Coturnix japonica: one gene and its partners. The protein of the gene in region 2 interacts with the protein of the main gene of each other region in a pairwise test. Links are inferred from orthologs where the notes say so. Each region holds a gene or a part of one and is shown on either strand. Other genes may lie near its edges.

Region 1 (8,186 bases), on a different chromosome or scaffold from region 2:
GACGAAGGGCACTGACATCACCTGCAACAGAACAAGCCCTGTGTGACCTCACTGCATGGAAACATAGCCTGGACCCCAGGGGCTGGGAGTTCTGTGAGCTCTTCATGGCCCTGGGGGAGCACAGGGCACAAGAGACATCCAGGCAGATGGAGCAAGATATGGAGCCTGTGGGATGCCTACCAGGGCATGTGTTCTTGTTGCAGGCGATGGAGCAGAGTTCCAGCACCCGCTCGGCCCGGCCTCCATCAGTGCCTCTGCTGCGCAGGTCCAGGAGGATGAGGTGGTTGTCAGAGCCCCCTGCAGAGAGAGGGGAGTTGAGGTGAACACTTGAAACATCAGCAAAAGAAAAAAACTAGAAGGCTCAAGACTGTTGCCCCAGTGGTTGGCTCAGACCTGGGACACGAAGCCGGCCCCAACGCGGGCAGCTGAGGCTGCTCCTTACCTGTGACAATATCATAGCCCAGCTCCATCAGTGCTGCTGCCAGTGTCTTGCAGTTGGCCACCACCTGCTGCTGGTAAGCCTTGAACTCGGGAGTCATGGCCTGCTGCAGGGCCACAGCGATCCCTGGGGATGAAGCACAGCAGTGAGCTTTTGAGGACCAACAAAAGTTATCTTGAAAGCTAAGGAACCTCATGGACAGTCCCTTCCCCTAATCATGCATAGGAACAGCCTGATTTCTCCCTCAGCTGCATCAAATTGGCTGCTCTTTGCTGCTGTACCTCTCAGCTGGAGCACTCTGCCCTGATACTGGGGCTCAGAGCTGAGCCAGGATGTCTTTGTACCCTCCTCACCATCCCAGCCCAGTGCAGGTGTATACCTGCGATGGCATGGTTGTGTGGCCCTCCCTGCAGCCCAGGAAAGACCGCTTGGTTGATGAGGCTCTCCAGGTTGTAGAGTGTTTCCTTCCCTGTCTTGGGGTCTGTGCTGCGGGTGCCTGTGGGAGGAGAGAGCAGGGTAACATATAAGGCAGCTCAGGAAGGGAATTATGCTTGTTCTTCAAATCTGAGCCTTTGGGATGTCCCCAGTCTTTCTGCCCTTCCTATTTCCCAGCAGGAGCAGGAAGGAGCTTTAACCTGCAGCTCCCCTGGCCTGGATGGAGTGCTTCCATGGCTCAGATCAGGCACCTTTGCGATAGAAGATCATGCCGGCCCTGCAGCCCCTCAAGGTCTTGTGGGTGGTGGTGGAGACGACGTCGCAGTGTTCAAATGGTGAGGGCACAACACCAGCAGCCACCAGCCCGCTGATATGGGCCATGTCGGCCATCAGGTAGGCGCTGTTGGCGTCGGCAATCTGTCGCATGCGGGCATAGTCCAAGTTGCGTGAGTAGCAACTGACACCTGCAATAGGACAAGAGGGAATGGCCTCAAGTTGTGCCAGAGAGGTTCTGTTTGGATATCAGGAACATTTTCTTCTCTGAAGGAGTGGGCAGGCACTGACACTGCTGCCCATGGAGGTGGTGGACTTGACAACAGAGGTCTTTTCTATCCTTAATGATTGTGTGATCCTTGTGGGTCCATTCCAGCTTGGGTTGTTCAGTGATTCTGTTCTATAATTCTGCAGCATCCCACTGCAATTGCCCACTGGTTTCAGGATGCCATCCCAACTGGTGTGTAAGCGTCGTTCCTTACCTGCTATAATCAGCTTGGGGTGGAACAGACGGGCATTCTCCTCAAGTTGGTCATAGTCAATGTAACCAGTCTTGGGATTCACCTGGGAGAGGAAGAGGAAGGTTCAGTCACCTTGGCAGGGGTGAAGATCAGTTGCTGTCAAGAGGTTCTTTCACTTATGAAGGCCTGGCTCTCACTGGAGCAGCTTTCCATACCTTGTAGGGCATGGACTCAAAGAATACAGAGGTTGCAGAGATCTTCTTCTTGTCCGTCATGAACCCATGGGTCAGATGGCCCCCGTCAGGCAGGTCCAGCCCCATGATTCTGCCGTGGGGCTCCACCAGGGCCGTGTACACCGCAAAGTTAGCGGGTGACCCTGTGGCAGGAGCACACGAGGCAGTTCAGAGGTGCTGGGGCATGCAGAGGCCAGCACAGCCTGTGCTGCCTCCCCTGGGGATGCCGTTACCTGAGTAGGGCTGGACGTTGACACCCCACTTCTGGGGGTCAAGCCGGAATGCCTGCAGGGCTCGCTTCTGGCACAGCCGTTCCAGCTCATCTACAAACTCTGTCCCGCCATAGTACCTGCAGGTAAAGGATGGGGAAGGAGTTACATTGAGGTTGGTGTCTGCTGAGAACAAAACCTCAAGGTTAAAACTAATCTCTTCATTTAGCAATGTGTACCCAAGGCAGTGCCAGCTGTGAGACCAGGATGCTGCTGTTTGCAAGCAGCAGACATGACCCTGCTACAATTACCTGGTGCACGGCCAAGGACAGAAGCTGAGAGGGTCAGATCCTGTCCTGCAGGAGCTTGGTTGCCAGCACCAGGACATGGCTTCCTTCCCAGAGATGAGGTCTTGAGGTGAACATGACAATGCAGATGGTCCCTGCCCCCTCCCTACAAGAGTGTGTGTGTCTCAGGCTCTCCCCAGCCCCGTACCTCTGTCCAGGGTAGCCCTCAGAGTATTTATTGTTCAAGCAGGATCCCAGCGCCTCCAGGACTGCGCAGCTCGCAAAGTTCTCTGATGCAATCAGCTCCAGCCCCAGCCTCTGCCGCTGCTTCTCCTTCTTGATGATGTTGTACACCTTGAGGAGGGAGAGATAGCTTCACTTGTGCCAGCTCTTCACAGAGGTGTGGGTGCTGCATGGCATGGGATGCACTCTCAGAGGAGTCAGGATGGCAGAGAGCAGTCTGAAAGCCACTGGAGAAGGGAGGTGAGGCCCCTTCTTGGTACAGCTAATCACACGTCCTGCCACATCCTGAGTTTCTGTGGTAGATACCACAAAGCCATCAGGTAATTCAGCTCTTGCTTGGGCTGAACTGTGGCTGCAGAGTTCTGGGCCTGGTGCAGGTGTCAGAGCTCCAGGCAAAGAGTTATGAGCAACGGCTGAGAAATTACAGCCACAGCATGTGCATGTTGGTTGCAAGGCCCAGGGCTGGCTGAATCCCAGCAGCTTTAGCCTTGCTCTGTGCTCCTGGTTCAAGGAGGTTGGTGTCCCAACAGCTCTCACCTCAGGGTCATTCCTGTCGAGTGGCTCCAGCAGCATCTTATTGTGGGAGGCCCAGAGCTCTGCGCTGGGGAGGCTCCCAGCACCCTGTGCCATGTTCGCCATCTGTCCGCTGCCTCTGCTGCCACCTGCAAAAGGCACAGGGAGGGTGTTTATTGCAGCAACATGGCCATTTCCAGTGCCCTCCTGTTCTCCTCCAGCCTGGATATCACACAACCGAGGTGTGTGGCTTCCCTCTACCCCTCCCTCATCCTTACACTTGGGGAAGTGGGGAGCCCATAAGCACACATGCCAAACTCCAGCAGTACCATTTCATTGCACTCAGGCTTTAGACCTGATCTTGCTCTAAGCCCAAGGCAGCAGCAGCCCCTCAGCACCAAGCATTGCCAAACAGCACACAAACTCCTGAGCAGTCAGGGCAGCCCAGCTCCAGCCCTGGCTGCACACAAAGTGTCTTTTTATCCATTAACCCCGCAAGGCCGCAGAGGGGCCGTGAGCTGGTTGTTAAGCAATCCGCTCCGTTCAGCAACGCGGCCCCCGCTGTGCTCAAAGGCCCGGCTGTCCCGGGGCTTCACTGGCAGCGGGGAAACGCTGTGGGATATGCGTGCTGAACCGAAGGAGCGTTGTGAGGGGTGCTGTGCGAATGCACACTGCTGGCAAAGGGCTGCAGAGCACAAAGCTGCCACGGAGAGCCCCACTGCCACCCTCCTGGTGGGACGTGAGCGGGGGCACGGCCCTGGAGCTTCACCCGCTGTGTCCCACATGGCCCCATCGCATCCCATACCCAGGACCCGGTACCGCCCCGCTCCCACTCACTCTCCCCCTGCCCGCCCCGCATCGCTCCGCACCGATTCGGATCCCGGTCCCGGCCCGCTCAGCCGCCCCGCGGCAGCCCGCGCTCCTACAATAGGCTGCCGCGTCACACCCCTCCGACTCTCAACCAATCAGCGCCCGAACATTGAACTCCGCGACAACTCTTGGTCCAATCCGCGGCGCGCTCCGCCTCGTCCCGCTCCCCATGACCCGCGCTCAGGCGGGGCGGGCAGCGCTGCCGGCACCGGGATGACCTTGGCCGGCCAGGGGGGCTGCGCCGGGCACCCTAACACCAACCCCAACCCTAACCCTAACCCTAACCCTAACCCCAACCCTAACCCCAACCCTAACCCTAACCCCAGCCCCCCTCCCCAGCCGACATCCCCTGAGCCTTCCTGCCGGCCATGGCAGTTCTCCATCCCTGCTGGCGGGGCGATGCGCTGAGCACAGCGGGTGAGCTGTGCGTGGTACGGTGTGGGAGCCCTGCTGCTCTGCGGGGTGTCCTGGTACCTGGAGGAATGTTTCAGCCTCGGAAGGATGAGGCTTGCAGGCAGCAGCACTGTGTGCTTCACACACAAACACGAACTTGGGTTTGGTTGGCCTGACCCAAGAGACCACGGTCAGAGCTTCAGGGGTTAAATCAGAGTGCTGCAAATTGAGGAACAGAGTTAGGGAATCATCAGTCCCAGTAAATTCCTTGTGATCCCAAGTGATGGAAAAGCAGAGCGTGCTCCGTGAGTCACAGCGGTGAGGAGCAGCTCTCAGAGCAGTGGGGCTCTGCAGTGTGTGGGGCTGGAGCGGAGCAGTGCTGCGGTGAGTGCGGCCGGGTCCTGGTGCTGAGGGGTTGGTGTGTGGGTACAGGGGTGGCTGCTGCACCACAACTCCCCACCTCGGATGCTGCTCTGCCTGGGGTGTATGTGTCCTTAGTGCTTTTCTCCCAGGTAACAGTGGTAGGACAGAAGGTAATGGCTTTAAGTTGCATTAGGAGAGGTTCAGGGTGGATGCTAGGAACAATTCCTGATCCAAAAGCTGCCCAGGGAGTGATGGGGTCACTGTCCCTGGAGGTGTTCCAGGGCTGTGGAGATGTGGCACTGAGGGATGTGGTCAGTGGGCACGGTGGGGTTGGGCTGGGGTTGGCCTTGATCTTGAGAGATCTTTTCCAACCTTAATAATTCTATGATACTGTGATAGCTGTTGAAGGAGCCATCTTTTAACTTGATAATTCAGTTTTTAGCTCTGTTGATTTGCCTTCCATCACTAAATAGTTTGGCCACAGCTGTGCAGTTTGGCTCTTTGGAGTCCTGCTCTCAGCCCAGGGCTGGCTGCTGTCACAGGCTGCTCACAGATGAGTTGTTCTGACACTGCCAATGCCATCGGCAGAGCCTGGGCTGCTGTCTCGGGTCACAGGGTGACAGGGAGACAGGGCAGATGCCAACCCTCTGCCCACAGCCCCGTGGGCCCGCTGGTGTGGAAAGAGCTGCAAGCAAAACCATCTTTGATATCATTTATTTTCTGCTTCTCAGTGTCAGCGGGCTGCCTGTCAGTGCGGGTGACAATCTCTGTGGGCATCCAGGGACTTCCCAAGAGATGAGTAATTTGTTTCAGTCTTGGCAGGTCCCTGTTAAAGCCTGCAGCACTGGGACTGAGTTGTCCCCGTGGTGGCTGATCCTCTGCTCACGTGTCCCCTTCCTGCTGCCATCATCCTTTCACGACAAGATCAGATCAACTCAAAGATCAGATCAACTCAAAGATCAGATCAACTCAAAACTTTCAGACTGTCCCCCTCCCTCTGTGTTGGCTCACTCGGATCTTGCTCAAATAGCTTGAATTCCTCGTGCCTCACAAGTATTTATCTGCCATTCTGAAACTTTAGATGTTCTATAGAGAAGTGTGTTCATTATTGAGTCACTCTTAGTACTTATTTCATCATTGCATATCCATTTTGTGTACAGTCACAATCAAAGGTTCTCCCCAGAGCTCTGGGAGCTGCAGATAATCGCAGTGTGTGCTGTTATGGTTTCAGGAGCCCAGCTTGCTGGCAATGGAGAGCGTCTCTTCTTCCCCATCACCCTTCCCTGACAGCTCCCCCTCCATGCCCTCTGGGAATGCCACAGCCTACGACCACTACTCTGGCCTCCAGAAGAGCCTGCACATCCTCTCCATGGTGGTGTACAGCATTGCCTGTGTGCTGGGGGTGACGGGGAACGGCCTCGTCATCTGGATTGCAGGCTTCAAGATGAAGAAGACAGTGAACTCAGTGTGGTTCCTCAACCTGGCCATCGCTGACTTCATCTTCACCTTTTTCCTGCCCCTCAGCATCGCTTACACCGCTCTGGATTTCCACTGGCCCTTTGGGAAGCTGCTGTGCAAGTTGAACAGCACCATCGCCTTCCTCAACATGTTCGCCAGCGTCTTCCTCCTGATGGTCATCAGCGTGGATCGCTGCGTGGCCGTGGCCTTCCCCGTGTGGTCCCACAACCGCAGGAGCCCAGAGCTGGCAGCCAGGGTCGCTCTGGGGACGTGGGGCATGGCCGTCCTGCTCAGCTCCCCGTACCTCATTTTTCGTGACACCGCGGTCAGTTCCCGTAACATCACCAGCTGCTATAACAACTTTGCGCTGTCTGATGACTACACGGCCGAGGAGACACGGAGGCTGTGGAGGATGCGGCACAAAGCGATGATCATAACACGGTTCTTATGTGGGTTCCTCATCCCCTTCACAGTGATTCTCATCTGCTACAGCGTTGTTGCCGTCAAGCTGAAAAGAAGGCAGCTGGCCAGCTCTGTGAAGCCGTACAGAATTATCATTGCCGTCACAGTCTCATTCTTCCTCTGTTATTTCCCCTACCATGTCTTCTCCTTGCTAGAAATATCTCAAAACTCTTCCAGTCATGAGATGAAAATGGCCCTTTACATAGGAATCCCCTTGGTTTCCAGCCTCGCTTTCTTCAACAGCTGCATAAACCCCATCCTGTACGTCTTTGTGGGGCCAGATTTCAAGGAGAAGTTTTGCCAGTCCATCCTGTCGGCCTTCAAAGGGGCCTTCAGTGAGGAGTCAATGCTGGGCAGCCTGAGCAGCAGGAGGAAGTCCAGGTCTGCCTCGGAAGCAGAAGTCCCAAGGCTCTGAGTACCCACTCAGTACTGGGTGGGTTCAGTATGGGCACCACTGCAGGGCAGTTTTCTCCTCCTCTCCTTTCTTTCTTTCCTGATTTGTCACAACATCCCATTTTTAGTAGACGACCCTTTGTAAAGGTCACTAAGTCTGTGACTTTACTGACAGGGCTCCCTTTATTTTCCCTTCTCTCCGGCATCCTTCAGCCATGAGAAGCAGCCTCTGAGTTCAGTGGGGTCACCTTGTAGGTACCCGACTCTGCATCGCTACTGGGTTCATCCCCAGGCCATTCCTGAATGGCAAGTTAGCTGCTGCGAGGATGTGTTGTTCTCTGCATTTGCCAGGCTTTCCTGGCAGCCAGGCTTTGCTGGGATGCAAAAATTGTGGGGTTCCACCAGGGGGCAAAATTGGATGCAGGTGTGCTGGCAGTGTGCACAGTCTGTGCTTTAGCTGAGCAAGAGGATGGAGGGAAGAGCTGCTCCATAAATTCCTTATAATTAAATCAGCAAAGAAAATACATCTTTTCCTGCGCATCATGCCAGTCTGCTGCTAAATTTTAAGTAGGAAATGATTAAATTACAATAAAAGCAGCATGAACATGCAGTGGGATCTGTCTGGAGGCACTTTTGCAAATGCAGCTTTTAAAGCAATAGGATTCAATGAGGTGGCTGTGCGTGTTTCTGTAGGGTCTGGGCTTGCTTTGTTCTTTCCCTCCTGAGACAAGTTACTGGTTGTGTCCTGCTTACTCAGGTTTGGTGTTCAGCATAACTGCTCCTGAGCAGTGCTACTCCACGTTGGTATTTGACCTGCTTCTGGCCCTCGTATAGATGAAATGTCTCATTTTGTACTGTTGGTGAATGAATATTAAGCTCTATTAAACTTATTTAAAGCATATCCAGCCTGCTGTGCTGCCTGTGTGATCCATTCCAACTGTGCATGCTCATGTTTGCTAACAAAATAGATAAGAAGATTCAATACCCACGATTTGGAAATTGCTCCCAGTCACTCCCCCCTGACTGACGTTGGCAGCACTCAGCTGTGTGAGGAGGTTTGTCGGGCACATCTGAAACCCAGCAATGCCAAGAAGGAAGAGCAGGTTTAGGATTGGGTTTGCCTAGATCTCACCTTTGCAAAGTGCTTAAAATGT
Region 2 (7,392 bases):
ATATGCTTCACATGGCCCAGCATTATAACAAGATGAGATAACAAATTTCACTGCCAACTACTGTAAATAATTATTCAGTTATTTCAAGAGAAAAGTCTGTGAGGAAGATTAGAAACTGCAAGCAAGCTGATTCAATGCCATTCTGCAAAAATTGGTTGCTTTCCTATTTGCATGTTCCTGCCTCCCTTAAGAAAAGGAAGTTCTGCACCTGAAAGCATAATTCATGTGGTTGAAACTACATCAGTTACTTGAGCAGAGTCCAAATATGCATCTGTAATTCAAATTCTTGTGAATGCAAACGAATGTAAAAGTGCTGTCATGGGGTAAACTGGTGATGTTATTGACTTCGGGGGGGGGGGGGGGGTGTATCATTCAGTGTGTAGATCCTTCCTTAACTGCAGTAATTTCTTATTAGGATTTGAAACCCAGCAACATAGTAGTAAAATCAGATTGTACACTCAAAATCCTTGATTTTGGACTGGCAAGAACGGCGTGTACTAATTTTATGATGACTCCATATGTAGTAACACGATATTACAGAGCGCCAGAGGTTATCCTTGGAATGGGATATAAAGAGAATGGTAAGTTACTGGAGTGATGCTTTAAATTGTTTGTCTAAAGCATATGTGTCTCCAAACATAATAGCTTTAAAAGGCTGGGACAGAGCTAATTTCCCTCTGCTGTGTCTATTCTTAATGCTAATCACATTACTGGAGATTATTAAAACATAAAAATAAAATGCACAATAAGTATTTTGTGGAGAATAAGAGTTTTCTACCGTATCCATATCTCCATTTAGCATGTTCTGTTCCTGCTTCCCTGCTGTCTTACCTTTTCCTTTGTTGTCCTATTGCATTTTTCTTTATCCTACCTATATACCAATCTATGAGAAACCTATGCTGCATGATGTTTTAGAAAACCAACTAACCGATGATCAGTGTGTAAAATAATAAACCTTTTTATCATTGTGATTTTTACTGTGAAGCATACTCTAAGTCTGTCCCCCCAGTGTCTGTGATGACTTCATTAAAGATCTATTTCAGATTCTCCCATAAACCATGTAGTTTATTCCCCTAAATCTATATAAATAGCACTTAAAGAGGCTGGGTGTTGTACTATATTTACAAAGGCTTTATATATTGAACATTCAGCCAACAAAACTACTGGCAAGGAAACTGTCCTTGACCCACATTACTGTTTTACTTGCTGGTATTTACTGGCTGTGAAGTAACATTCTGCCTCCTCTGGTCTTCTAACCTAGTACATCTTTTCGGTTATTCACTGGGGCTTGGGGATACTTTAGCTGTGTGATACAAGGGACTTGCAGGACCTTGCTGAGCCACTGAAAAATGTACACTGATGCACGTGGCAGTTGTTCTACTGCAAGTGCTCACGTGGATGAGAACGTCTATGGAGGCAGTTCTGGATGGGACAAAAATACTTATCTGCACGACTATAGATAAAGAGTGTGAATTTACAAATTAATAATTGTTATACTTAAAAAACCTCTTTAATCTTTTGTCCTTGTTACACCTAACATATGATAGTGGATATCTGGTCTGTTGGGTGCATTATGGCAGAAATGGTCCTCCATAAAGTCCTGTTCCCAGGAAGAGATTGTATCCTTCTGCACGGTCGTTTCAGAAGTGTAAATGCTGATAATATTTTGCAAAGTGCTGAAAACAAAATGTAGCAACAGTTTAATTAGTTGGCGTTGAAATGATTGAAGATTCTTGTTAGCAGTTTGGTTTTCCACGTTGTTGTATTTTACCGTAGATGCTAGATGTCTTCATTTTGTTTGTTTGTTTGTTTTCCTCACTTTTGTTCATGATACTTCATAATTTGATCATTTCATTTTTACTTTCAGTTGATATCTGGTCAGTTGGTTGCATCATGGGAGAATTGGTGAAAGGTTGTGTGATATTCCAAGGCACTGATCGTATCCTTCCCTAGTCATCCTTGAACCACTTCCACCAGGAACATACTTTGATCTGTATAAAAGCTTAAAGCACTGTTCTCAACCATGTTTTAGTAGATCTGCTGTAAGCTATGGAATTAGTGTCATTGACCAAATTGTTGAGCTTCCTATTTTATTTTCTTAGCAGACTATATTTATTGTAATCTGTACTGATTGAATCTGTAGAATTTATACTAACAGCTTAAGCTTTTCTATCTTTAATAGAATGCTGGTAGGTTAAGGGAAAAAAAAACCCAAAGCATTACCTGTTTTTTCTTACTGTTGTTCTTAGTAGATAAGTATTAGAAGCAGAAATCTACTAAGTTAGCTTTTACTGTGCATGGGTTTGGCTTCCTATTTGGTTCAACTTATTTTTTAATGTACGAGTTTTTTCAGTTTCAACCAGGTTTTTTTCTCACTCGTTAGGATGCTGCTGTCCAATGAGTGCTAATTGCAAGTACACTGCATGAAATCTCTTTTTCTTACTATTATTATTTAATAGAAAAACAATTTCTTAAAATTTTTGTTATCATTTTATGAAAACTTTATTTTGGACTTACTTTTTCTATAAGATTATCCTTCTTTCCCTTTTCCCTCCAGTATTTTTGACCCAAGTTCATCTTCACAGAGTTGTATTTTGTTACGTGATAGAAACTGTGAGCACCTTTCTGTATTAGAAGTAAAAATCTTTATGCCCTCGTGCCCTTAGACTTGGGAAATCTCAACAACGTATTACTGGATCAGAGAGGAGCATTTGCACTTTGTGAGGTGGATAGAAATGAACATTTAATCAAATACATATTCTTCAAATAATTGTATGTGTTTAAAAGAATTTCCTAGAAAAATGATTAAAAACTCATTATCAAGCTCCAGTTAAAGGAAAACTTGGGTTTAAACCAATTTCATCCTTTATAAAAAATAGTCTTGCATATTAGTAGTGTTCCAGGGCAAGATATTCCAAATTGGTCAGTAAGTAAATAGAATGCAGAAGATACAATTAAACTGGGCTGTAAGGCACCCAAAACCAAAGGACGTGTGGTCCAAGCTTTTGAAATAATACATTGTATAATATTTCTGCTTGTCAGCAAGGAGAAGCTGGGCCCACCACTTAGAATACCAAGTATGTGCTCCTATGATCTTTTCATAGCTATATGTCTTGTAGAGGCTATTTTAAATTCAAAGTTTCATGACACTAATTAATCTTCAGCAGTTGATCGTTTATCAGTTAGTTGCATAAATGATTGTTAAATAAGTCTGTTTTCTACCTTTCTTCCTTTCTATATTGTTTTACCTTTTAAAGCCTTCAGACCAACCTAACACAATTCTTCATATATGTTATGTGTCCTTCATCTGCATGTCAGCATGGGCTGTTTTGGTTTGTTCATGAAAAAGGAGGGAAATTTTGTTTGTACTCATATATGCAAGTTACCATTTGTAGCTCACTGGAGGTCGCTGAAGCTCCACCAGTCCATATTTCAAAGAGTCTGCCCCTCTATCTTATCAAAATGCATAACTGTGCTTAGGGTTTTTTCCTTCTGAGTCTTTCAGTTCCCTTTAATGTGTGATACTGACAGATAAGTCATGTTGGCTTATGCAGTTATCAGTTTGGTCTGGAATAATTGTCATTTTCTTCTAGCTGCAGCCACAAGTCTGTTTTGACTACAGGGGTTAAGGGGGATGGATGCTGCTACACACGGCCTTGGGATTTTCCGTTTTTTAATTAAGTTTTGATATGTCTTAGCGTTCTGGTATTTTGATCAGGGAACCAAGCCTAATGATGTGCCTGTGGTTGTCTTCAGGAGAAACTGCTCTCGGATCCAGTTGTTTGTACGTTGCTGTATGGTCAGCAGGGATTTCTTGGAGTGTTGCAACAGAGCCCTGCTTGGGCTGAGATGCTCTGCACCGTCAGGGTGGAGGATGGGCTGAACCTGCTCCTGGCCATAGCCTGAGCTGAGAAGCTGGCAGTTGCTGTTGAACTAGAGATGAAAAACGTAGAAAAAACACCCAGCGTAGATACTGGAGATGAAGTAATGGAAAGCCTAGAGGCACTAGAGAATGTTTTCAGTGCTCTTCTGTGCAGGAGGTAAAGGAAACTGCCTGACTGATGGAAAAAGCATGAGAGCATAGTCATGATTTCTTGGGAAAAGTCATGCTTTATTATTAATTGATTATAATAAGGACTCTGTTTTCAACATTTTCTCCCAGAGTCTCGCAAAGCAGACAGGCACTCTGCTATGGACTGAACGATTCTGGGTTACTTTTGAGATTGGGGTCATTAGTTGAACAGAAAGGGTAATTTTGTCTGCAGACTGCAAGGTTATTGGAGGGACGCTGCATGCTTTGCATCAGCATTAAGGTTTTCTCCTGATTGAGTTTCTGATTATGGACATTGCTTATTTCATATCCAACCTATGCTGGAGAAAATATTTTGTCAGGTTTTTTTCCCCACATTTTTATTACTGAAGTGAAATAGGTCCCCCACCTTCAAACCACCATAGAATGCCCTTGAATTTGGCTAGCTGCCACTCTAATCATCAACCCCTTCTTGAATCTGGATTGGTGGACTTCTTGCACAAATTACTTTTCCAACAAAATTTCCTGGCATGTGTCAAAACTTGCTTTGTATGTGCTCTGTTTCAGCATGAGAGTTAATAATACTGACTTCTTAATTCTTATTTTAATATTGTGTTTCCACTGGAATGTATTGAATAAGCAGATACTGTTTTCAATCTTTGCATCTGAAGTCTAAAGCTTTAGCAGGAAGGATATTTCTGGATGTATTTTTGGCATGCTAACAAAAGTAAGTGCTTCTTAAACTGTAGTGTGTGTTAACTACAATTCAAAGTGCAGTGGATGTGTCTTGTTAAGAAACTGGTGTAAGAATCAATAGTTTGAAAGAAAAGATTCTGAGTTCAGATACGTTTGGAAGGTTTGTGGTTAGACTGCTAGAACTGCACATTCCTCATCAGGAAAAATGGGAAGTGTTGAACTGAATAAACTTACTGTATTAGCATTGTTGATACTGTAGAAATATGTAAAAGAAATACCACGTTTTATGTATTCTTTTATGTATTCTTTTATGTATTTTTACATCTGGTACAGTTAGATGTACGTCAGGTCATTCACTAGCAGCCTTTGTGTTTCTTTCTTTTCTGTCCCCATAGTTGTTATGTTATGGGTGTAATTAAAGAACAAACCTTCGTTTCGACTCTTCCAAAGCCATGTTTTCAGAACTGGCCAGTAGGTACCAATTCACTGCAGATATTTAATCCTGATGAGTTGTGCACCATTTCTGGTCTGTCCCTATCCTACAAAACTGATATTTTAGATTTTTGCCAGCGTAGCTTTTTCCACAGCAGTTCTAGAATGTTGTTGATGTTAGATTGGAGTTCTTGTTTTATTATTAGTTCAGGCTTTCAGCTTTTCAGATTTCTGCAAGTGATGTTTTTGTGTAGCGCAGACTTCAAATTCTGCAGCTGATTTTCCTAAAGATGTGGTGCAGATATTGATCAATGGAATAAAGTAATTGAACAACTAGGAACGCCCTCAGCAGAATTTATGAAGAAATTACAGCCTACAGTGAGGAATTATGTAGAAAACAGGCCAAAATATCCAGGTATTAAATTTGAAGAGCTCTTCCCAGACTGGATATTTCCATCAGAATCTGACCGTGACAAGTTAAAAAGTAAGACAGATTTTTTTTTTCTTCTTCTGAAGGTGTTAATTTAAAATGTTTGCAATACATTTAATTAAACAAAACAACAACTAATTTAGAATATCTGTATTGCGGTGGGTGTTGACATAAGCTCCATACCTGCTGGTTTTTTTCACATATGACAGATTCTGATTTTTATTAATATTAGCTCAGAAATACGGAGATATTTCACTGTTCTCTTTAATTCACTTCATTTGAATGTCTTGAATAATGTTTGTGGCTGAAATGTTTCTGAAAGTAGCACTTGTTAGAGTTATTTATGTTTTTCTGGTTCATATGGGAATGTAATTCATGTCAGCTGCTTTAGATAAATGACCAAGAAGTTGAAAAAATCAGTTCTATGGGCAGACACGAGGTTTTATACAAAATAGGCTACAGCAACTTATTTTATTATACAGCATTTTTAGTTCAGACAAAAAAAAGAACTGCCAGTCAAATGGCGCTGCCATTTACTATGCACTTCAAAATGTGGCTTATGAGCAGTAGTTGATGACAAACTGTGACCTGTGCATCAGCGTAGCTGTTCAGAATTGAGATTGGTTTATGTCAGCTGCAGGGTTTATGTTTTGGATTACAGTAAAATAACATTGACATTAGAGGACTGTGACCTCCTTTTGAAAGAAATCTGCCGTCGCTGTGCCTGTCCTGGCAGTGCAGCCTAATGCTGCTGGGTACTGAGCGAGACGTGCAGCTCCAGTCCTACTCTGCTGACTTAAAAACAGTGCTCAGTGAGACCTATTTAACTCTGCGGGATTAGAAGTTAAGTATTCGCATGTCACCAACAAATGGAACTTGTTGGGAGGCACTGAAGCTCAAGAGATCTGTTTGTGTATGCTTTGTCAGATGTTTACTTTCTAGCCAGTCAAGCTAGAGATTTATTATCAAAAATGCTTGTAGTAGATCCAGACAAGAGAATTTCCGTTGATGAGGCCTTACGTCACCCTTATATTACTGTCTGGTATGATCCAGCTGAAGCAGAAGCTGTAAGTTTGCATTTAAAATAAATTTTAAGATATCAGTTCAACAGTTTTAAGAATAACTTTAGTTTGGATCCAAGTGCGTGCTTTGAACTCGTGTTTTGGTTAGTGAGATGCACGTAAGCATTCAGGTTCATGTTTGAGGTGGAACCACCTGAAGAACTGTCGGTGGAGTGGAATTGATGCTGTTTTGAAAGTGATTATTGGTAGCTCCCTTTGTGGAAAGTGTTGCCTGCAGGGTGGTGATGTTCTTTATTTTGGGTAGTGGGCTTCATCTGAGGCCCTGCCAGACCTTACAAATGTTCATTTTCAGTTGATGCTTTTAAGCAGCATTTTGGTGGGAGGTAGAATCTAAAGCCTGGAGATGTGAAATGAATGTAAATTGGAGATGTAGGGAATAGACTGCCAGAGGGAGGTAACAATTGGCTGAGAAAGCCACCATTTTTAGTTTTGCCTGCAACATAATAGGTAACGTGTAGACTTAATTTTCTTTGTAGCCTCCACCTCAAATTTATGATGCACAGCTGGAAGAGAGAGAACATGCAATTGAAGAATGGAAAGGTAAAAAGGGAGCATGAGCAATGACGTAACTTGTACTGTGAGCTGTGTGTTCCTGTTGCGCGTGTGCTGGATTGTGTAACTGACTGGATCTTATTCAAAATGTGCAATACTGCTTATGGTGATGTGAAAATAAATTGATAATGGAAAAATGTGCTATTTGGAGGAAATATTCATGCATGTAT
Region 3 (8,188 bases), on a different chromosome or scaffold from region 2:
GCCTTACAGCTCTGTGCCCCAAGTCCAACTTGCAGCAAAGCTGAAAATCCATAGCCAGCAGGCACACACACACACTGCAGGCATGCGGGACCCTCTCTCACTGCACTAGTTGCCACCCAGTGGCATAGTGTCACCCACTCCAGTCTCCCCAGGTGCTGGCAGCAACCTGACAGCTCTTGGTCCCAGCTCAGCTGCTGGCAACACAGACACAAGGTCCCTCTGACCCTGCTCCGACTCCCAGGTACTGCACTCACAGGCCCACAGAACAGAGCCCTCACGCAGGAAAGAGCTGGAAAGGAATTTCAGGCAGGACAGACCATGCATGGCCAGACACATGTAACTGCCAGCAGCCTGTTCGCAGGTGACCACTCCTTTTTATTCCCTTACTCATTTATTTTTCCCTTCCTAAATCACCTACATCAACCCCTTTCCCTGCCTTTGGTTTCCCCCTAAACATCCCATAATAAGCCTTGAGCAACCTTGAAATGCTCCTCCTCAGCATCTCACATGTCCCATATCCCAGGCAGCAACATCCTTCAGTCCCAAAGGTGCTGCAGCACTGAGTCACTGCAATAGATGGAGGTGCTCATCCCTCCTGTCCTGGCCTTGGGCTTCTGGTGCCCTGTGGGTTGGTGGCACCAGGGATGGGGGAGCTGGAATAAGGTGGTGTGTAGGGCCTCCTGCTGCCCTTATACCTCCACAAGCACAAAAGTTCACTAACACTGCCACTGCCATTCATGTAATCATCTTATTATTCAAGACCTCAAAGAACTGCAATGGTAAAGTACTTACTGCAATCAGGATGCCAGAAAAGAAGCCTAAGCCAGAACACTCAGAGCAAGGATAAATTAAGGCACAAATACACCCCAAAGTTCTCAATGTGGAGCATCTTTGCCTTTGAACATACATGGGGCATGCTGACACAACCATCTTTCGTAGATCAAGATTGTAGCTTGTTTAAATATTCCATTTGTCAGTCTCATAAGTGCTATTTTCAGAACATTTCCACGCTGATATTCTCAACAGTGAAGATACCACTTAATCTAATCTGAAACAATATCAGCTTGCAGACCAATTTTTGCCATAGGAGATAGGGAAAAAATGGGAAATAATGACCTAATTACGACATTTCTATTTTTACTGTTAAAAACAATAGCAAGAAATGTCAATTAATTTTACCAAGGTGCAAAGCTTACTTGTTAAGGAGTGTAATTAGGACATCTGTGCAGCAAGATGGCTATGAATTCTCAACTCAACAAGAGGCTTCTTGTTACTAAACCCAGTAATGGTCTTGGAATTTAGAACAGTATCCCCTTTAGGAAACACTTACTACCGAGATGATGCTCCAAGAAGGCTTGGTAGGCAATTCTAATAAGATTCTGAAATATTTATAGCTAATGAGAGGCAGATCTGACTATAGAACAGTTTTGATACATGGTAATATAAAATCTCTTCCTTTACACTGTCAGAGAAACCTCATTTTTTTTTTCTCCCTGTGCTTCCAACAAAGACACAAAGCACAGAGACCATTTAGAAGGGGAGGTGGGGGAGGAAGAGATGGGGATATGCAGTAGAAATTAAGTAGCAAAAGCAAGTACACATGCTTATAGCAGAAACAACCAGCCTCTGGTAGCTGATCCATAAGGTTTATAGTAGTGACTATTGGGTATACCTTAACATCATCATTATACACTAACAGGATTAATCCCAGAATTTCCTTAGGATCACAAGATATTTCTGGCTTACAGTCTGGATCTGCACTGACATACCAGAGGAAAAAACACCAGCTTATGCTTCCAACAAAGGTTATTGGGTGAAATGGGAAATAACTCAGTAAAATGCAGTGAACAGTAATATTTCACTGATTTTAAGACTACTCCTTATTTTTTAAATCCATACTATGCAAGAGTTGCACTGTAACCTGCAGGTGAGCATTCCCCTTCTACAGAGACTCCTATGAAGTGAAGAAAGCATCAGATGCAAGATGAAGCATGAGTCAGACATGGAAAAACAAGGCAAGCTGGATGAAGACTCTTCCTAAACAACTATAGATAAGTAGCTTCTCTTAGCAGATCCCAGTCTGGAATGTTAAGAAACAAAACTTACTTCAGACCTGAAAAAACACATACAAAAATAGTTATAGTTCCCACAGTACCTCTGGACAGCCTGTGCCAGTGACGTGCCACTCCCTAAGTAAAGAATTTCCTCCTAATATCTGACCTAAGACTTCTCTCTTCTAGTTTAAAACCGCTCCCCATTTTCCTACTACTACCTGTGTAAAACTTTTAGTCTCCCTCCTGCTTATAAGCTCCCTTTAAGAAGTGGAAACACAAAGCACTGGCTGCAAGCAAAAAGTGCTTAGGTTTGGAGTGGCACTAACAAAAAGAGCATTTGTGTCTATATAGAAAGAAGCTTTAATAATTAAACTGATGATCTGAGTGAGGAAGTGCCCTACCAAGAATTAAGGCTTCTTGGAAAGCATTACATTCTCTATCCCCCCCACCACCCCAGTGGCATCATACGTATCTCATTTCAAAGATGTGGTAGATCTAAGCTGAAAGAAGTGACTTAACAGAGAATCACTTCCACTAGAAGGGATCCCTTAAGGTCACCTGCTCCAACCCACTGAAATGAACAGGGATATCTAGAGCTAGATCAGAGCCCTGTCAAGCCTGGCCTTGAGAGCTTCCAGGGACAGAGCATCCACCACCTCCCAGGGTAACCTGTGCCAGTGCCTCACCACAATGATTGTAAAGGAACTTCTTCCTTACATCCAATCTATGTCTCCACTCTCTTGCTTTGAAACCATATCCCCCTGTCCTACTGCAACAGACTCTGTTAAAGCATCTGTCCCCTTCTTTCTTATAGACCCCCTTCACATACTGAAAGGCCATTCTCAGGTCATCCTGGAGCCTTCTCTTCTCCAGGCTGAACAGCCCCAGCTCTCTCAGCCTGTCCTTGTAGGAAGGCATTCCATCCCCTGGGTCATTCTGTGGCCCTCCTCTGGATGTGCTCCAACAGCTCCATGTCTCTCCAGTACTTCAGGTGAGACCTCACCAGCACAGAGCAGAGGGGCAGGATCACTCCCTTGGCCAGCTGGCCATGTTGCTTTGGATGCAGCACAGGTTGGCCTTCTAGATTGCCAGGGCACATTGCTGCTCATGTTTAGCCTGTGATCCAGCAGTACCCCCAGGTCCTTTTTAGCAGGCCTTCCCATCAGCACTCTCAAACACATTTCTTAAAAGTTATGAGACGGAACCATGAGATTCTCAGCCATCACTTCGCTGTAACAGTTCCATGCAGCTGCTTGCAAAAAGTTCAGCCTCTACGCGTTAACCAAATAACTTTAACCACCCATTTATACGACTTTTAAATCTCTCGCGTATAAATGACATTACAAGAGCGGTCCGCATTACGCAGAGATGCGTAGCAATGGGCTGAGGGCTCAGGGCCGAGCACAGGCCGCACAAGCCAGGCCCTACAGGCCGGGAGCCGACACAGGACCAGCCCCAAGGCCTCACTGGCCCTACAAGCGCAGCCCAGAGCGAAGGAGAACCCGCAGCACAGTACGGCCGCCCCTCACCTCTCCAACTCCAGATCCTCCTCCATGGCAGACTACAGCCCGGCTCCTCACGCTGACACAGACGCCATAGCCGCTCTCAGCCCAGCTCCTCGAGGCGGAGCGAGCAGGCGCAGCTCCGGATCCGGCGGGGAGGGGGCGGTGCCGGGCGGGGCGGGGATGGAGCCCTGGCGGCAGCGCTGCCCACCCCGCCCCGCCCCGCCCCGCCCCGCCCCGGGTTGCGCTCCGTAGGGCGGAGGGTCCCTCCCGGCCCGGGGCTGCGGTGCGTCCCGCCTCGGCCGCTCCGCCATAGGCTGAGCCGGCCCCGCGCCCGGCCCCGCGCCCCGGGGCTGCCGCCGGAGTGGCGGAGCGCGGCGTCACTTACGCTGCCCCGGGGGAGGCGGGGAGCGGGGCCGGGCGGTGGGGAGGGAGGCGCCGCGCCGAGTGGCCGCCCGGAGTTCGGCTGCCGCCGTGAGGAGCCGGGTGCCGCCGTGGTAAGTCCGTGCCCCGCAACGCGCTCGGTCCCCTGGGGGCGGCCCGGCCCCTCGTTGCGCTCCGCGGGGCGGGGGCCTCCCCCGGGACAGGGCCGGGCCTGCGGCGGGGCCTGCGGGGCCGCAACAAGTGCGGGAGGGGGAGAGCAGCGCCGGGCCGCTTCGGGGAGTTGTGCTGGAGCCGTGACTCCGGAGTCGCGTTACCGCTGCCTGGGGAGGGCGGAGGGCAGGGAGAGTTGTGGGCAGCGCCGGAGCGCACACATCGATGCCAGGCTGCTCTTTTCTCTCCCCTCTCGTTTAAACCGAAGGTGCGGTTGGAAAACTTGCAGTGCGGCGCCTTGTGAACTTTCCCGAGGCGTGCCGTGTTACTGCTCCTCGCTGTGTGTTGGTGCTCAGCCGAGCGGGTAGGGAGTGCTATGGCACTGACAGGCTGCTCGGCCCCATGGGGCTCCTGTGACCACGCTCCCGGTGCGGGGCGTTGGTTGTTTCCTGCTGTAGGAATCCACCATTAAGTACGCCCGAGCTTCGTTTAATTCCTATTTTAATTACGTGATCTCGTTGCTCTCTGTGTGCGACGGGAAAATGACACGGATCGGCTTTGGGTCGTGTTTGATGCTCTCTGGAAATGCACTCCTGCTCGTAAACGCATCAGAGCTTTTGCTCAGCAGAGACCCAGATCCGAGCTGGGCCCCCGTTAAAGTAAATGAGTGATTTCTGTGTGTCTGCAAACCATTGTCTTCCTTTGGGCTCCACGAAGCTTTGCTGTAAGCTTCAATCCCACCGCAGATCAGGGAGCTTAGGGGGAGCATCAGATGGCTCCGGTTAGCGGCTGTGCACTTGGGAGCAAACACGGCGGTGCCATATGCTGCCGTGACTTCATTACCATCCCTCCAGAGACAAGGTTTGTGAGCACACCTTTGGGAACAACAAAACCGACTGGGACCTTCTTGCATTGACTTCTAAAGTGAGGAATCCCCTCTTTCCTGAAGCCAGTTCTATATGGTTGACTCCAAATGCAGGGAATTGTAAGGATTGCAGTTGTGCTCAACTAAGGTTTTGTTGGCTTTTGAAGTTCTTTATATTAAAGAAAAATATCATGCTTTTAAGTGCTTGTATTATTGAAATTCTAAAATCTTGGAATAAGTGCCTATAAAATGCACATTTTTTTCTTTAATGAGAGCTTTCTATAATGAACTTGTAACTGTCCTGGCTTCTAGTTCTGGTCTGTGACTTCAGCAAGAGATAATCCAGGGCCTTGGACTTGGGTCTACAATGGTTAAATCAACATTATTGCCTAAGGCAGGCTTACATCTTTCATTAACCAAAGCATCATTTAATATTAAGCTGCAGCTTAACAGTGGACTTTGCAAGAGAAATGCCCGCAGCTTCCTGGGTGAAAAGTTCTGCTCTCTTGAGACAGTGAGGTTCATTTAAAAATGAAGCCTATGAAAACCTATTACGCATAAATGCTGGCTTTGATACTGCTGGTTTTTGTGTACATTGGGCATTTGCTCTCACAGGAGCCTTGGTGACCTCAGTAAAACCTGGCATTGCCATGAGCCTTTACCCGCACTGCGTGGCCTCTGAGCCTCAAACTGGGGGTCTGTTTGTGCGCTTGTCTCACTGAAAGCAGTAGAGGTTTGTTGGCTTCCAGCTATAACACTGGAAAATATCCCCCCTCTTTTTAAAATCTCACTTTTTCCTGTGCTCTTAAAATGAATGGCTTGATGTAGCTGAAAGCTACTGTTAAGGAGATGTGGTAACCAGTGATATCACTTTAAAAGTGAAGTGTTTAAGCGTATGATATATATTAGATATTGGATTAATACAAATTGGTGTCATAAATCAGCCCGATGCTGCTTGCTTAAAAAGCCGTGAGATATTATGGTCTGCAATGGGTAAGAAAGCAGCACTCGTGCTGTGCTAAGATGCTCCCTGGTGTAAGAGGCGCCTGGTGACTGATCAGATGCAGCTGTGGCCTGTCTCCGGGACTGGAAAATTCTCAGTTGGTTTGGTCTGCAGAAACAACTTAACATGGCACCGTCAAGTCTTGTGGTTCTTAATTGTTTTATTAGGTCAGTGGCGTTTGCTGAGGAGCTGCAGGGCATGTTGCAGATGAAAATTCTTGTAAATATCATGAATGATGTACTTGCTACACTGTGGTATCCACAGAGCAATAAAAACCCATCAAATTGTGGTGTGTGCTTTTTTCTGTCCCCAATTCTACAGATCTGTGTACTTACATATGTTTAATTCTAAGCATCCAAGTATTTCTTTTGGAATTAGTGGGCCTGTTCTTAGGCTTAGCGCTAAGCCTGCATGTAAACGTTTTCAGGGTCAGGATTTATATTCACAAAGTTCATAGGCTAAACCTGTCATGTGTTTTCATACTGACCGCGCTCTCTTTTGCATGTAACAGTACAAGTGGCTGTTGGCTCCTGGCTTGGCAACGAGAGATGCTGCCTGCTCTGTGGGTGCAGGTTGGGCTGGACCAGGATGCTCTGATGTGCTGCCAGCAGCTGCTGTGTCCATCAGGTTGTTGTGGTGGCGCAGGCTTGCCTGGATGTCTGCCCCTTTTGATCTCTAAGCTCTATGTTTTAATCAGCCCATCCCTTAGTGGTGGTCAAGGCCAGGTTGGATGAGGCCCTGGGAGTGAGGAGTAAGCTGTTCCTTTCTTATTACTAGCTTGTAGGTAGGATCTTTCTTGGGTTATCCTAAAACTAGTCAGAGGTGGCTGTGTACCTCTATTTCAGTGCAACTCTAAGATCAAATAATCTGCGAAAAGAGAAGGTTCTAAGTTACATTTTCTTATTCTGCGAGTCCCCCACCCAATTCACAGTGTTTTGGTGGTTGTTGTTGTTTTTAATGGTTCCTTGTGGTAACTCAGCTCAGTATTTGCCTTTTCCTTTTTGTTTGAAGGAAGCAAGCAGTGATGTTGTTTTGGATTCCCAGTATTTTGTTAAGAATCTCTGGACAATGTCATTACAGTAAAGCAAACCAAATCAGTCAATGAAGCAACTGAGAGGTTATAAATTTGTTGGATATTTTTTATAGGGCAGTGAGGTTCTGGCGCAGGTTGCCTTGTCCCTAGAGGCATTCAAGGTCAGGCTGGATGGGACTCAGCATCTGATTGAGCTGTAGGTTTCCCTGCTTTGTTACAGAGGGGTTGGACTAGATGATCTTTAAAGGTCCCTTCCAACTCAAATAATTCTGTGATCCTTTGAATATTATGTTCTAAGCTAATGTTTGCCTGCTAGTCTGTGGAAAGGTGGAGTTGCTTTGCTTTGGGTTGGGTGGTGGGTGTTGCATTTGCCTGGCAGTTTTCCCTTCATTCCACAGTAAAGAGTGTCTTCATATTTCCTTGCAGGTTCTCTAATGCTTAACTACTTTTCAGTGTTGTTTGTTCAATAAGGACCAGCATGTGGTGAGCTGTTCTGATGCAACACTTCAAAACCCAAATGTGCCATGAGTTTTCTGGTAGGCATTTTGGGGGGAGGCGTGGGGAGATTGGCTGGCTGCTATCAGTGAGCCTTCTTAGTCAATGCATTTAGCTTGTCACAATGTGAGTGTGCTTCTGTCTGGGTACCTTGTTTTACTGACACAGGAAATGAGCTGCGTCAGCAGATGTTCTCTGTGTCTGTGTAATAGACCTATACTGAGTTTTCCGCTGGCATAGCGATGTTATCAGGATCGTTCCCCTGACATTGCCACCTGCTGCACATGCAAAACCAAAGCAAAACTAAGAATCCCCCCCATGCTCTGATGCTGATCACATTTCAATTCCAACACAAGTAGCTCCTCATATGGTCTATGTTTATGGATTTGATTTAAGATGCCTTTACACATTTGGAGGCTCCAAGTTATAAGGGAAAAGAAAAAAACAACTGTAATCTATGCTACCTCATTCAGGGGATGCCTAATTGCTGTTTCACTTATCAATGGTCCGTCCTCTAATGCGTTTTTGTTCTTACTCCCCTTCTCCACATCATCATTTTCTCCTGTTGTAGTTCTTTTGTTGGGTTTAAAACTTGTTTGTAACCAGACTGAAGTAACTGTAAGTGAAAGCTGATGCATCGCCAGACCACATAGATCCTAATTTCTTCCAGAGGCTTTCTGGTCTTTTTAAGAGCTTACTGTG

The links.
Region 1: the proteins of MAPK9 (region 2) and SHMT1 interact in binary tests that used the Homo sapiens proteins (3 or more experiments, as listed by UniProt). The two-hybrid records come from large-scale screens. The link is inferred for Coturnix japonica from reciprocal best matches to the Homo sapiens genes MAPK9 and SHMT1.
Region 3: the proteins of MAPK9 (region 2) and LNX2 interact in binary tests that used the Homo sapiens proteins (3 or more experiments, as listed by UniProt). The link is inferred for Coturnix japonica from reciprocal best matches to the Homo sapiens genes MAPK9 and LNX2.

The regions. Positions count from the first base shown.
Region 1 is NC_029529.1:5,127,300-5,135,485, forward strand, and holds the start of SHMT1 (serine hydroxymethyltransferase, cytosolic), read right to left. Parts: upstream 4,061-8,186; 5' UTR 3,963-4,060; intron 3,243-3,962; 5' UTR 3,220-3,242; coding exon 3,118-3,219; intron 2,692-3,117; coding exon 2,546-2,691; intron 2,191-2,545; coding exon 2,075-2,190; intron 1,985-2,074; coding exon 1,824-1,984; intron 1,712-1,823; coding exon 1,630-1,711; intron 1,339-1,629; coding exon 1,126-1,338; intron 936-1,125; coding exon 819-935; intron 566-818; coding exon 443-565; intron 298-442; coding exon 181-297; intron 22-180; coding exon 1-21. Other genes in the region: chemokine-like receptor 1, read left to right, coding at 5,969-7,054. UniProt on the Homo sapiens protein: Interconversion of serine and glycine.
Region 2 is NC_029528.1:4,142,425-4,149,816, reverse strand, and holds part of MAPK9 (mitogen-activated protein kinase 9), read left to right. Parts: intron 1-415; coding exon 416-581; intron 582-1,547; coding exon 1,548-1,619; intron 1,620-1,867; coding exon of another isoform or gene 1,868-1,939; intron 1,940-5,459; coding exon 5,460-5,642; intron 5,643-6,530; coding exon 6,531-6,655; intron 6,656-7,146; coding exon 7,147-7,210; intron 7,211-7,392. UniProt on the Homo sapiens protein: Serine/threonine-protein kinase involved in various processes such as cell proliferation, differentiation, migration, transformation and programmed cell death.
Region 3 is NC_029516.1:157,556,192-157,564,379, forward strand, and holds the start of LNX2 (ligand of Numb protein X 2), read left to right. Parts: upstream 1-3,930; 5' UTR 3,931-4,053; intron 4,054-8,188. Other genes in the region: protein POLR1D, read right to left, coding at 3,584-3,609.